Arabidopsis thaliana: one gene and its partner. The protein of the gene in region 2 interacts with the protein of the main gene of each other region in a pairwise test. Each region holds a gene or a part of one and is shown on either strand. Other genes may lie near its edges. The genes, in order: AT4G25920 and AT1G34320.

Evidence for each region.
Region 1: the proteins of AT1G34320 (region 2) and AT4G25920 interact in a two-hybrid assay, tested with the Arabidopsis thaliana proteins (one large-scale study listed by BioGRID).

Annotation. Positions count from the first base shown.
Region 1 is NC_003075.7:13,163,551-13,167,476, forward strand, and holds AT4G25920 (hypothetical protein (DUF295)), read left to right. Parts: upstream 1-1,924; coding exon 1,925-1,981; intron 1,982-2,063; coding exon 2,064-2,818; intron 2,819-2,930; coding exon 2,931-3,291; 3' UTR 3,292-3,322; downstream 3,323-3,926. Other genes in the region: NFU3 (NFU domain protein 3), read left to right, coding at 578-679, 765-882, 958-1,256, 1,353-1,544.
Region 2 is NC_003070.9:12,518,073-12,524,898, reverse strand, and holds AT1G34320 (Ikzf5 (DUF668)), read right to left. Parts: upstream 4,841-6,826; 5' UTR 4,520-4,840; exon of another isoform or gene 4,406-4,519; 5' UTR 4,187-4,405; coding exon 3,872-4,186; intron 3,792-3,871; coding exon 3,466-3,791; intron 3,379-3,465; coding exon 3,286-3,378; intron 3,191-3,285; coding exon 3,100-3,190; intron 3,014-3,099; coding exon 2,920-3,013; intron 2,790-2,919; coding exon 2,686-2,789; intron 2,585-2,685; coding exon 2,515-2,584; intron 2,383-2,514; coding exon 2,279-2,382; intron 2,064-2,278; coding exon 1,947-2,063; intron 1,819-1,946; coding exon 1,742-1,818; intron 1,533-1,741; coding exon 1,488-1,532; intron 1,391-1,487; coding exon 853-1,390; 3' UTR 522-852; downstream 1-521. UniProt on the Arabidopsis thaliana protein: Promotes seedling growth probably via the regulation of phytosulfokine (PSK) signaling; PSK are peptide phytohormones acting as growth factors. Together with PSI2 and PSI3, required during vegetative growth and reproduction.

The DNA of each region.
Region 1 (3,926 bases), on a different chromosome or scaffold from region 2:
TTTTGTAACTTTAGCATTCATGAATAAAAAAAGTGCGTTAATTACAATAATTGTTAAATGTAATTAAATAAAAGTGCGTTAACTACAATAATTGGATATTGGTTATTTGCAAAATTCATGTTCTTAAATCATCAGTCTAAACAAAAAAATTAGATTAGCCGAAGATTTCTTCTTCTACCCTTGATGATACTATTTGGGATGGGCTTGCTTAGATGTGCCGAATCCAATTCTCGTTTTTGGGTCTATCTATATTTGGGCTGGGCTTTATAAGAGGCGAAGCCCATGTCGAACAATCAATTTTTTTTTAATTTTATATTTCTTTTGGGAGTCTGTTCTGTCGTATTGATTAATAAAGTAAAAAATCTTAGCCACAAAATTAAATCATCTCCAAGACGTATCAATATCATCATCAATCCACCAATGAAAAGTTCTCTCTTTTTTTTTCCCACTCTTACTCTGTTCTCGCTACAGAATCTCCTGGGAAAAAAAAAAAAGAAACTTGATCCACCCGAATTCCCCAAATCTTCACAATTTCTGGAAACTCTCTCGATCGTGAAGCAGAAAAGTGAGGTTCCAAATGGGTTCTGTTTCGGGTCAAACCCGAATTACAACGATGAACCTCTCGCTCTCAACAGCAGAGAAGAACCCTAATTTCCGCTCGTCGCTTCTCAATTCTAAGGTAATTGTTATCACTTCGTCGAGCTTCACCAAAAAAATGACTCCTTTTGCTTGATTTCTTCTTCTCCTCTTTCGCTTGTGTTTAGAACGCAATTTCAGATACTTTAGGGGTCTCTTCCAAATGCAGTACATTCCTCAGGGGTCAATTTCAAAGAATACATTTTTCTTGGCTACAACACACTCGACCTTTGAGAAAACGAACAGGTACTTGATTTGCAAACCAGACCAATCTCTTTAGAACTTTAGTTGTGATTTAGATTCTTGTTATGTTTGGTTTAGTATTTGGTCACGTGAGCTGCGTCATGCCGTTAACGGAAGAGAATGTGGAGAGAGTGTTAGACGAAGTACGACCATCTCTAATGGCCGACGGAGGAAACGTGGCGTTGCACGAAATCGACGGACTTGTGGTGGTTTTAAAGCTACAAGGAGCTTGTGGTTCGTGTCCTAGCTCATCAATGACGTTGAAGATGGGAATCGAGAGTCGTCTTCGAGACAAGATTCCAGAGATCATGTCCGTTGAGCAGTTTCTTGAATCCGAGACAGGAGGTTTAGAGCTGAACGATGAGAACATTGAGAAGGTTTGGTTTTTTAAAGGTTTAGTTATTTTTGGTTTATTAGCCCCTTGGTTTTGAAATTGATCTGAATGGTCCTTTTTTGGTTTGTTGTCAATTTAGGTTCTCTCTGAGTTAAGGCCGTACCTATCCGGTACTGGAGGTGGGGGGCTTGAGTTAGTTGAGATTGATGGTTACGTGGTCAAGGTTCGACTCACTGGACCAGCTGCTGGAGTCATGACTGTTCGTGTCGCGTTGACTCAAAAACTGAGGGAAACAATTCCTTCTATAGGTGCAGTCCAGCTTCTAGAGTGACATTAACCTTTTTATTTTGTAACTTATATACAAGGCCTATTTTTGATTCAATATATTTTATTTCCAATTATATAATTAGTACAACTAATACAATAACCATTTCTGTTGAAGAAAAAGGAAAAGAAAAAAAAAGTATCCTATGTATGAAGGACATTTTCTCTAGTGATCCTTGTTTTTAGGTAACAGTTATAAAATATTCATGACTTGACTACACAAAGATAATCGAACTTAAAGAGTTATTTCCTTAAACCAATTATTCTCTAATTAAATATGCATTTATAGCGAGTTCTTGGTGAGCAAGGATACTAGAATCTCTATAATAAGTCGGACATAAGAAGATATGAGGAAACACAGACATAACATAGTTAAGAGTTTCAACAATGTCAAAGCTTATAATCAACCGAATATTCAAACCCTCTGTCTGCAAAAATTTCCTCGTACGTAAGCTTCTCTTGCTTTTTCTTTTTAACTTTAATTTTGTTCTTGTTGTCTCTGAATACTTGAACATAACTATGGCAGAGACACGCAAACGTTCGTCTGTTCTCATCTGCAACTCACACGAGTACTAAAGTGAATCAGCCCTTCTCGTCTAAACCAGCCTTCCCGTTTCTGTTGATTGACTACATCCTAAACAACCCAAACTCTTCCTCCGATGGTCGCGTAACAACAAACGTTTACGGTAATGAAAAGGAAGTCTTGATTAAGGACAAGGATCTTAAGGAGGAGGTCTGTGATGCGATGACTGTCGGGTTTTCTCGTGATGGGTTGCGAGTCGAGCTTTGTGGCAACCACGGCGATGTATGTTCTCCCACCATCTTTTACAAGCCTACTGACCCCGAAATAGAAGACTTGACCGTTGATCTACCTCCTCTACCGACGGGTTCACAAATCCAAAGCCTGGTCATGTCCTCTTTACCTAAACGAGACAAAAATTGGGTAGTTGTTGTCAAGTTATTGGGATCTCAGTTGAGTATGTGCAGGCCTTTTGGCAGCCGTAAATGGATCAACATCCAAACCAAGCCTCAGAATATAAACCCTTCATCGAGCATCATGTTTTCCAAGAAAGAGAAAAAGTTCTACGTTCCAACTCCCGGAGGCAACATCTTGTGCTATTTGGATCCTCACTCAGAGGACGACGACCTAATTGATTTCGTGGAATTGGAGTTTGACGATCTTCCAAAATCGGTGTTTCAAGAGTTGGCCGACGTGAGTACATGTTCTAGGACAGACCACCTTGTGGAGTCACCCACCGGCCAACTTTTCCTAGTCAAGTGGTATACTATCTAATTAAAGCTATATATAGCTTTTGTCTTCATAACATATATACCAAAATCTCTAATCCTTTGCTTGAGTATCATATTGGCGCGCTTTATCATGTCTTTGCAGGTATGGAGAGGATTTAGAGGACATTGACAACACCACACTGTATAATGTAACAAAAAAGTTCATGGTGTTTAAAGAGGGAGAGAAACCGAGTTGTGTCTACACTAAGAAGATGATCTATACAGAAGACATTGGAGATCTTTGCATTTTTGTTGGACATAGTGAGGCTTTCTGCGTCCCGGCTAGCTCGTCCCCTGGCCTCAAGCCTAACTGCATCTATTTTGTGGGCTATAACTTTGGTGTTTATGATCTCACCACCAAAACTTGCACTATGTTCCTCACAAAAGATGATAATCCATTAAGGAAATTGGAATTCCCTTACTGGCCTCCTCCGGCTTCCTTTCCAGTACTAGCTCCTAATTAATTATCTCTCTTGCACGTGTTTATGTTTCGCTAATGTTATCGCTGTCTTTGCTTTCCCATGATTTCATTTAAATCCAATGTTCTCTTTTAATCTATGTTCAATGAAATTTATATTAGTGCCTTAAAAGAAGGCGAATCTATCCTACCAAAAAAAAAAGAAGGCGAATCTAAACGAATTCGGTTAATTCATCATATTTCTCAATTAATATACGTAAGACACACTTTGGCACAAAACTTATATAATTATTTATTTCCTGAAACAAGTTATCCTCTAAATATGTATATTTAATGTCCTAAGGTGTAGTACCCTCGGTATTCACTAGACAGAGACGGGGAAGACGAAAGAGTCGCACGTCAAATCAAAATCACAACACATATTTTGAGTGTTGTTACATTATTTTGTGGTGGATCACTATGTGGAGTCACCCTCCGGTGAACAATTCCTCGTCAAGTGGTATATATACTATAGACATTGCTTTTGAATAAACAATTATACAAACTATTAGGTTAATTACTCAACATTTTAATTTGATTTAATGGCTCCTCACCAAACACAAGAAGAGAGGTGAAACATGTTATCTTATTTGTTCTTCCATGCATTTGTTTTTAGGTACGGCCACAACTTAATGCGCAATC
Region 2 (6,826 bases):
AAACTTTTGGATAAAAAAAAAACTTGGATGACCACTGAGCATCATCGAGAGCCGATGAGTCGATGACGGCCTGCAAATCCAAGGTAACTTGGATGCTCAGACTGAGAAGCATTCTGTCCAAAACGAAGTACAAATGAGCGGAAAGGACATCTACAGACGCATCGAGATGTTGTACAACGTCACGTTTATAAAGTTTAGTTTATAAGACTGTGCAGTTGGAATGATCAAACATAAATCAAATTTGCATGCCACCTTCAATTGATATTTTCTTCTATATCAAATACACACATTATCATGTGCTGGATGAATATAGTTTCTATATCTAACGATTACAAAAATATGAAGGCTCAAGTTAAGTCCATTGAGATCTCTGGCTAAGCCAATTAGCTAATGATGATGTTTGTTTGCGTTGTAATGTGAAGTACATTTATGGCGTTTTACAAATGTTAATTACTGCTAATAAGACTATGATTCTCAATTATCAGTTGCTTCTCTGGTGATTATTAGTCTAAATTCGAGTTTAATCCATTTGGAAAGATAATCTATTTTTATTCTCCAAACATATGTAATAAAGTTTCTTGTATGTACACAATACAACTATAAGAAGAAAAAGAACAACAAATACAAAGGAAATGCTAAAAAACCAAACCAAATTACACCCACAAAAACCAAAAAGAGTACAAAGTTACTAACCTCTGCCATTTTTTCATCACCTATAAAGGGTTTCGATGGCACCGTGCGATGAATCACATTCAGATTCTTCATCATATCAACAACTTTTGGTGATAAGAGAGTGGTGTTTCCCATCCATTCAACCCCTATTCTGAACTCTGATGGAGTGGAAGTAGTTAACTACAAGCTTCGAATGGTGTCCACGCGATCAATCACATCGAGAGCTTTCATGCGATCAATGTCAAAATCAATGATGGGAACAGAAGAAGGTCTTCTGGTTGAGAAAGTATCCTTCTTATTCTTCATCATCTCGCCCATCATTGGTGAGTGGCTACTGCTTTTGCTTAGCCTATGGTGCTTACAAAGACGTGCTTTAGCCACCGTTTCAAACTCTTGGCTCTTGCTTATTCCTGGCGTCTTTCTCCGCTTGCTTACATCTCTAAGCATCTCTTGATCCTCCGTAGTCAGCAATGGCAAACCCATACTCGGGTTGTGTGAACCGCTGGAGAGTTGGATCGTTTTCTGGTTAGGTGATCTGATTGGAGACTTAACAGGAGATCTTAGGCCATAACCTGTAGTGGCCCTGACTTGGGTAACGAGATGATGGAGCCACACCACCAGGTCTAATATGTAAGCCTCGGTTTTTTCTTTATCTGCATGGTGAAGAGTATCTATCCTTAGTATGGTTTGACCTGCAGGTCTCTGGTTCGCCTCCGACCTGAGTTATTTTGCATAATCTAACATTTAGTAAAGAATGCAGTTGTCTGCATATATACACAGCACAAAGAGAGAATCAGCTTGTAGTCAGGGCTTACCCGGAACTTGCCCATTCTCCAACCCATCCAAAACCATGATGCGCTCTGGTTGAGAAAAGAAAAGACAGAAGAATAAGTCTGACTTACTTTAATAGTTAAAACTAAGGGAATTTTACATGCTTTTGTTAACAGAATTAAGACATCACATGTTCCATTGATCCGCCAAAAAAAAATACATGATTTAAGTGAGAACAGAGTTCTAATGATGACACAAAACCAAAGATAAAGAGATAGAAAACATCACAGAAGCTTACTTGGTGGTGTTTGTAGCAACAGGAACAAGCCACTGCAATGTTTTTTCCATTTCAGCTTTTATTTGAGGAACAGTGAGCTGGTGAAAACAAATCAGATATAGTGAGGTGAGCAGGGATACAAATAACATTTCAAGTAACACTGGACATGGTAAATTCATCTTGTCAGCACAAAAGCATTATGGGAAGTGTGAAACAGTATTAATACCTCTTCTTTAACCTGGAAGGACTGTATTCTGGAGCGTAAAGCAGATTTTATGCTTGGGGGTAAACCTTGGTACAAAGCATCTCTTGTGCTTGCAGGCATAGTGCTAGACCGGGACACCTACTCATAGAAATGATAAATTTAAAATATATTCCACAAGCCGTATGGGTCCAATCATATTATTATTGCTGATGCTTGGAGGTAGATTATTAATGAAATCGGGAGACCATTGGATACGAGAAACAAACGATTTACAATCCCAGGAACCTAGAGTTTGGACAACAGGCCAAACATTGAAAGTAAAACTAAGTGATAAAAAAGAATAATATACTTACAAGAGTATCAATTTGAGTAATGATGTTTGCGTAATGCAAGGCAAGACCAGCAGAGCCCAGTTTTTTATGATTGATTGGCGGGTCATTTGCAGGCTTATCAGGATCTGCATATCAGGTGAAATGGCCATGATTTGTAAGTACATCTTTCATTTTAGGTACAAGAAAATAACTAAATCCTCTATCTTCCTGAACGCTAAAATAAGACGAAAACGCTTTATCCAATAATCGAGTCTCACCCGCACCACCAAAGGCTTCGTGAATCTCTAAATGCAAGAAATGGACAACATCTACTAGTTTCTCCATCACCTAAGTATTATTAGTATTTTCAAGAATTAGCAATTGTGAATGCAGATGAGCCAAGCAACTCCAAATAAAAGGAAATATTATACGTTTATTGCAGCCCTTACCTCTTCCAAGATCCTAGACCAAAGAGACTTTTTCTTTAAGTTTCTAACATGCTTCTTCTGACTCTTTAATTCAGTTCTCAAGATAGCGAGGGTATCTCCCACACCTTATGTAAAAGGAGAAAAAATGGAAGATAAATTAGAACGACATCCAACAAATAGAAGAAACTAGAGTGTAAAACAATAGCATCCATTCCCAAAGATATTAAGAATAGATATTTTCTTTTTGGTACTTACCTCGTTGTGCTGTGCTTGGGTTCTCTTCTTCCTGGATCTTACGTTGGTAATCTTGTTCAAACCTATCCAGCGCATGGAGTTCATGATACAAGTCCTGAAACATAACATATACTCAGAGTAGATCGCTATTGAGGAAGTCAAACAGGACCAAATATCACAATTTTGCATGAAAATACGTACAGCTGTAAAATGAACAAATGACATCATCTGGTGCATAATGGTCTCTGCTTCCTGTTTCAAGTGTTTCTGGGGTGTAAATTCAGAGCCCAACCTAAATCATAACACAGAACTAATGAAAAGTCAGATACTTTCCAAAAGGAATACACCCGTTGTGTGACCACCAAAGTGACAGGATCATGTTGGAACCTGTCAAAGAAACGATCCAGGTTGTGGTATTGAGGATCCTTGCAACGATTCCCAAAACGCACCACCTCTCCAGAAAAAATCCTCAACTCTTCCCTGTATACAATTTCAACCGTCACTTATCTCCAAACTACAAATTAGAAAACAGCATCAACACAGAACACAATCACAAACAATTGTTACCTTTTATCAGCAGCAGCAATTCTCAACAGTTCATCCATGTCTTTCGATATCAGGTTCTGAACACCTTCTGAAGGTAACACAACCTCTTTCAAATGAGTAATGCTATCTTTCGAAAGAGAATGCATAAGATTGGCGCCTTTAACAATAGTATTAGCAACTTCAAAAGACAAGATTGATATCTTATTCCCTTTCACCGTCGTCGCAGAAGAAAACCCCCCACTAAGATTCAGATTCGTCATACTACTCCCGAGTGTATCCAACACATCCACAGCTTTACCAAGTCCCATAGTACCAGCCCTACCCAAAAGAGAGCTTACTTCCGAAACCTATAAACAAAAACACCTTAGTATAATAAATTTGAACTCAGAACTAACAACACACAACAGCTTAACATTTCTTTATATACCTTAGCAACAGCAGCTTGTCTAGACTTAGTGGATCTAGATTTCTGAGATAAAACCCTCGATAACCGAGGAATCCCATCCTCGATATTTTGAGGATGAGATCCACTAGAGACTATAGGAAACGAAAACGATTCCGATGTATGCTTATTATCATCAACATTCTCGGTAACAGGAGAAGGATCATCTTTAAGTCCACTTTCACCAGAATGAGAATTCAAGTCAGAGGCATTGTTATTGAGATGATGACCATTAACATGTGCAAAGGTTCCACCAGGAGCATTATTTACAGATGAACTCCTTGAACAAAGCCCACCCATCACAGCAAGTTTCCAAATTTAGCTCTCAAACTCTCTCGAAACTCTCCATACGCAAAAAAAAACTCTGATCTCGGATTGAACTCTCTAGGAAACTTGAAATGGATGAACAATGTAACCAGCGAAACACTGTAATCGCAAATCCTGATTTGTATGAAAGCAACAGTCCATTAATGGAGCAAATTGCTCAGTGGAAAAAAACTTGATTCTCTCATACGAAACCTGCCAATGAATCAAGAAGATTTTAAAGTCAAGAGGAAATCGAAAACCCTAGCTAAAGAAGAACCCAAAACGACAAATTCAATTCAGTAGCTTGAAGGAATGGAGAAGAAAGACCTAAGAAGAGTCAGAAACTTGGATCTGGGAATTAGATTGAAGTTCAGATTCTTCTTCTTCTTCTTCGTCGCTAGTTCTTGAGCAAAGCTCTAGAGAGAAGTGAGAAGCTCTCAGCTGAAGAATCGTGGAGATGTCTACAAGGAAAAGAGAAGAAGAAACGCGACTCGAGAAAGAGAGAGAGAGGAGAGATGAATTGAATTTGGGTTAGTCTGAAGAGAGAGGAGGAGTTGGAGAGTGTCAGATGGTGAAGTTAGCCAAAAATTCAACCCCCAAAGGCTTTTTCTCGTTTTACCCATTTCTACACTCTTCAAAACTCTCAATCCCATTTACACATTTTTATTATTTTTTTACTAACAAGTTGCAGTATATTTTATATTATCAAATATTACTACATAATTAGAATTATTTTGTATGTTACCAAATTTTATTTACATAGTTAAATTTATGTTTATATAGTCTTTTAAATGGATTTCATTGAAATTCTTTGAATTGGGATCACTTCAACAGAAATCAGAAATAAAGACACGTCAATTTCGAAGAATACCATATGTTGTTATCAAATTATCATCAAATACATATCGGTGTAATGTTTCGAGTTTGTTATGCGAAAATTCACTTTTGATAGGTGTTTTTTGGAATTTAAATTAGTATTGTGATGGAATAATTAATGTCGATAAAATCGATTTTCGTCGAGTTATAAGATTCGGAATAAATATTGTTTTCTCTTTGTGATTTCAATCTATTTTTCTTTTGTTTGAAATCATTCTAATTCAATATTATTGAGGCAAAAAAGAGTTATGGTTATATAAAAGAATTACAATATAATATCTTTTGTTGTATATTCCAAGTAGTAAACTAAGTTGTATCAAGTAGTAAATTTTGAAATATTTAACCATTTTGTACCTTTGATTGTGTGAATGAAGGAAGTATTTGGTAATTATTGTAAGTCCTTGAAATAGAAAAAGGTGAAGAAAATCAGTCAACATGTATATGCATATCTAGTTTTGAAAATGAAAGTTGACTTTTTACCAAGTAAAGGACAACAGAATCTAAAGTAGGTTTCAAATTACATTGTTTTACCAAATAACCTATGTGTGGCAATGTCATAATAGCTTTATAGCATGGTCAAAGGTAGGAAGCTTGAATAAAAAAAAAATGTTGATATCATATAGGAAAATAATTGTTATTATCATTTAGTATTTATGTAAATAAATGGAATGTGATGGCCCATAGCTTATTTATTACATAAAAGATAAAAGCTATAAAATGATTTGGAACTTCAAAGGTATGATCATTTATTTGGAATGTTATAATTATTCAAAAGAAAAACAAATTACAAGCGAGTTTTTATCTTTTTTTTTTCAAGTCTTGAGATTTCAATATTAATTAGTAGTTTGTAGTTGTAAAAAAAAACAGAAAGAGATTTCAATCGTATTTTCATAAACATGATCCTAAACCAATTTCAATGATAAACTAAGTGAAATTAATTCTTAGTATTTTAGGCTACTTATTTAACTGCGAATTAGCCTAATTTAATGATAAGGTTGCCTCTCTTTTGGACCAATTCCACGTTTCAACAAGTTCACATTGGTCAAATCTTTTGAGTTATTCTTCTGTCTCCATCGCAATTCATCATGAATATTTTGATTCTACATTTCTTTTTCTTTCTTTTTTTGCTCAATTTTTTGGTCAAATGATTCCACAATTCAATTTATATTTTTTGTAACTAATTCATTAGCCCCCACACTCCTAATACAAGAAAACAAAACAAAGGCACCTGAATTATCAAATACTAGTTTACGGCCCGCGCTATGCGCGAACAAATTAGTTAGAATCAATTAAATAACTATATTTTGTAAATGTCTTTACATCAGTAGAAGATCAAACAATTTTGTAAAGCATAATGCATATATTAAAAAGTTTGGATTTTTCTTGATTAATTGAAATCAGGTCTAATAGTTATAGTGGTCATAAACCTCTGAACATATTTCATTAGTTTAACAGAACTGGTACATGACATGAGAACTTCACACACGTTCGGTTATAAGTACGACATACAAACTGAAAACTAGATATTTTAAACCGTTTTTGTGACATTATTTGCGTCTAGTACATATGTGCTTATGTGTCTAACTTGTTTCCTCCACGTACCAAGGCATACCACACCTATAGAAAAATGCAAAACCATTTTTTAGTATAGTTACCGACAATCACTCATCAACTTTCCAAAATAAAACAAATAGAGTTAAATTCAAAGAAAAACGTTTATTTTTATTTTGAATATAATTTAACATTAAATTCAAAAAG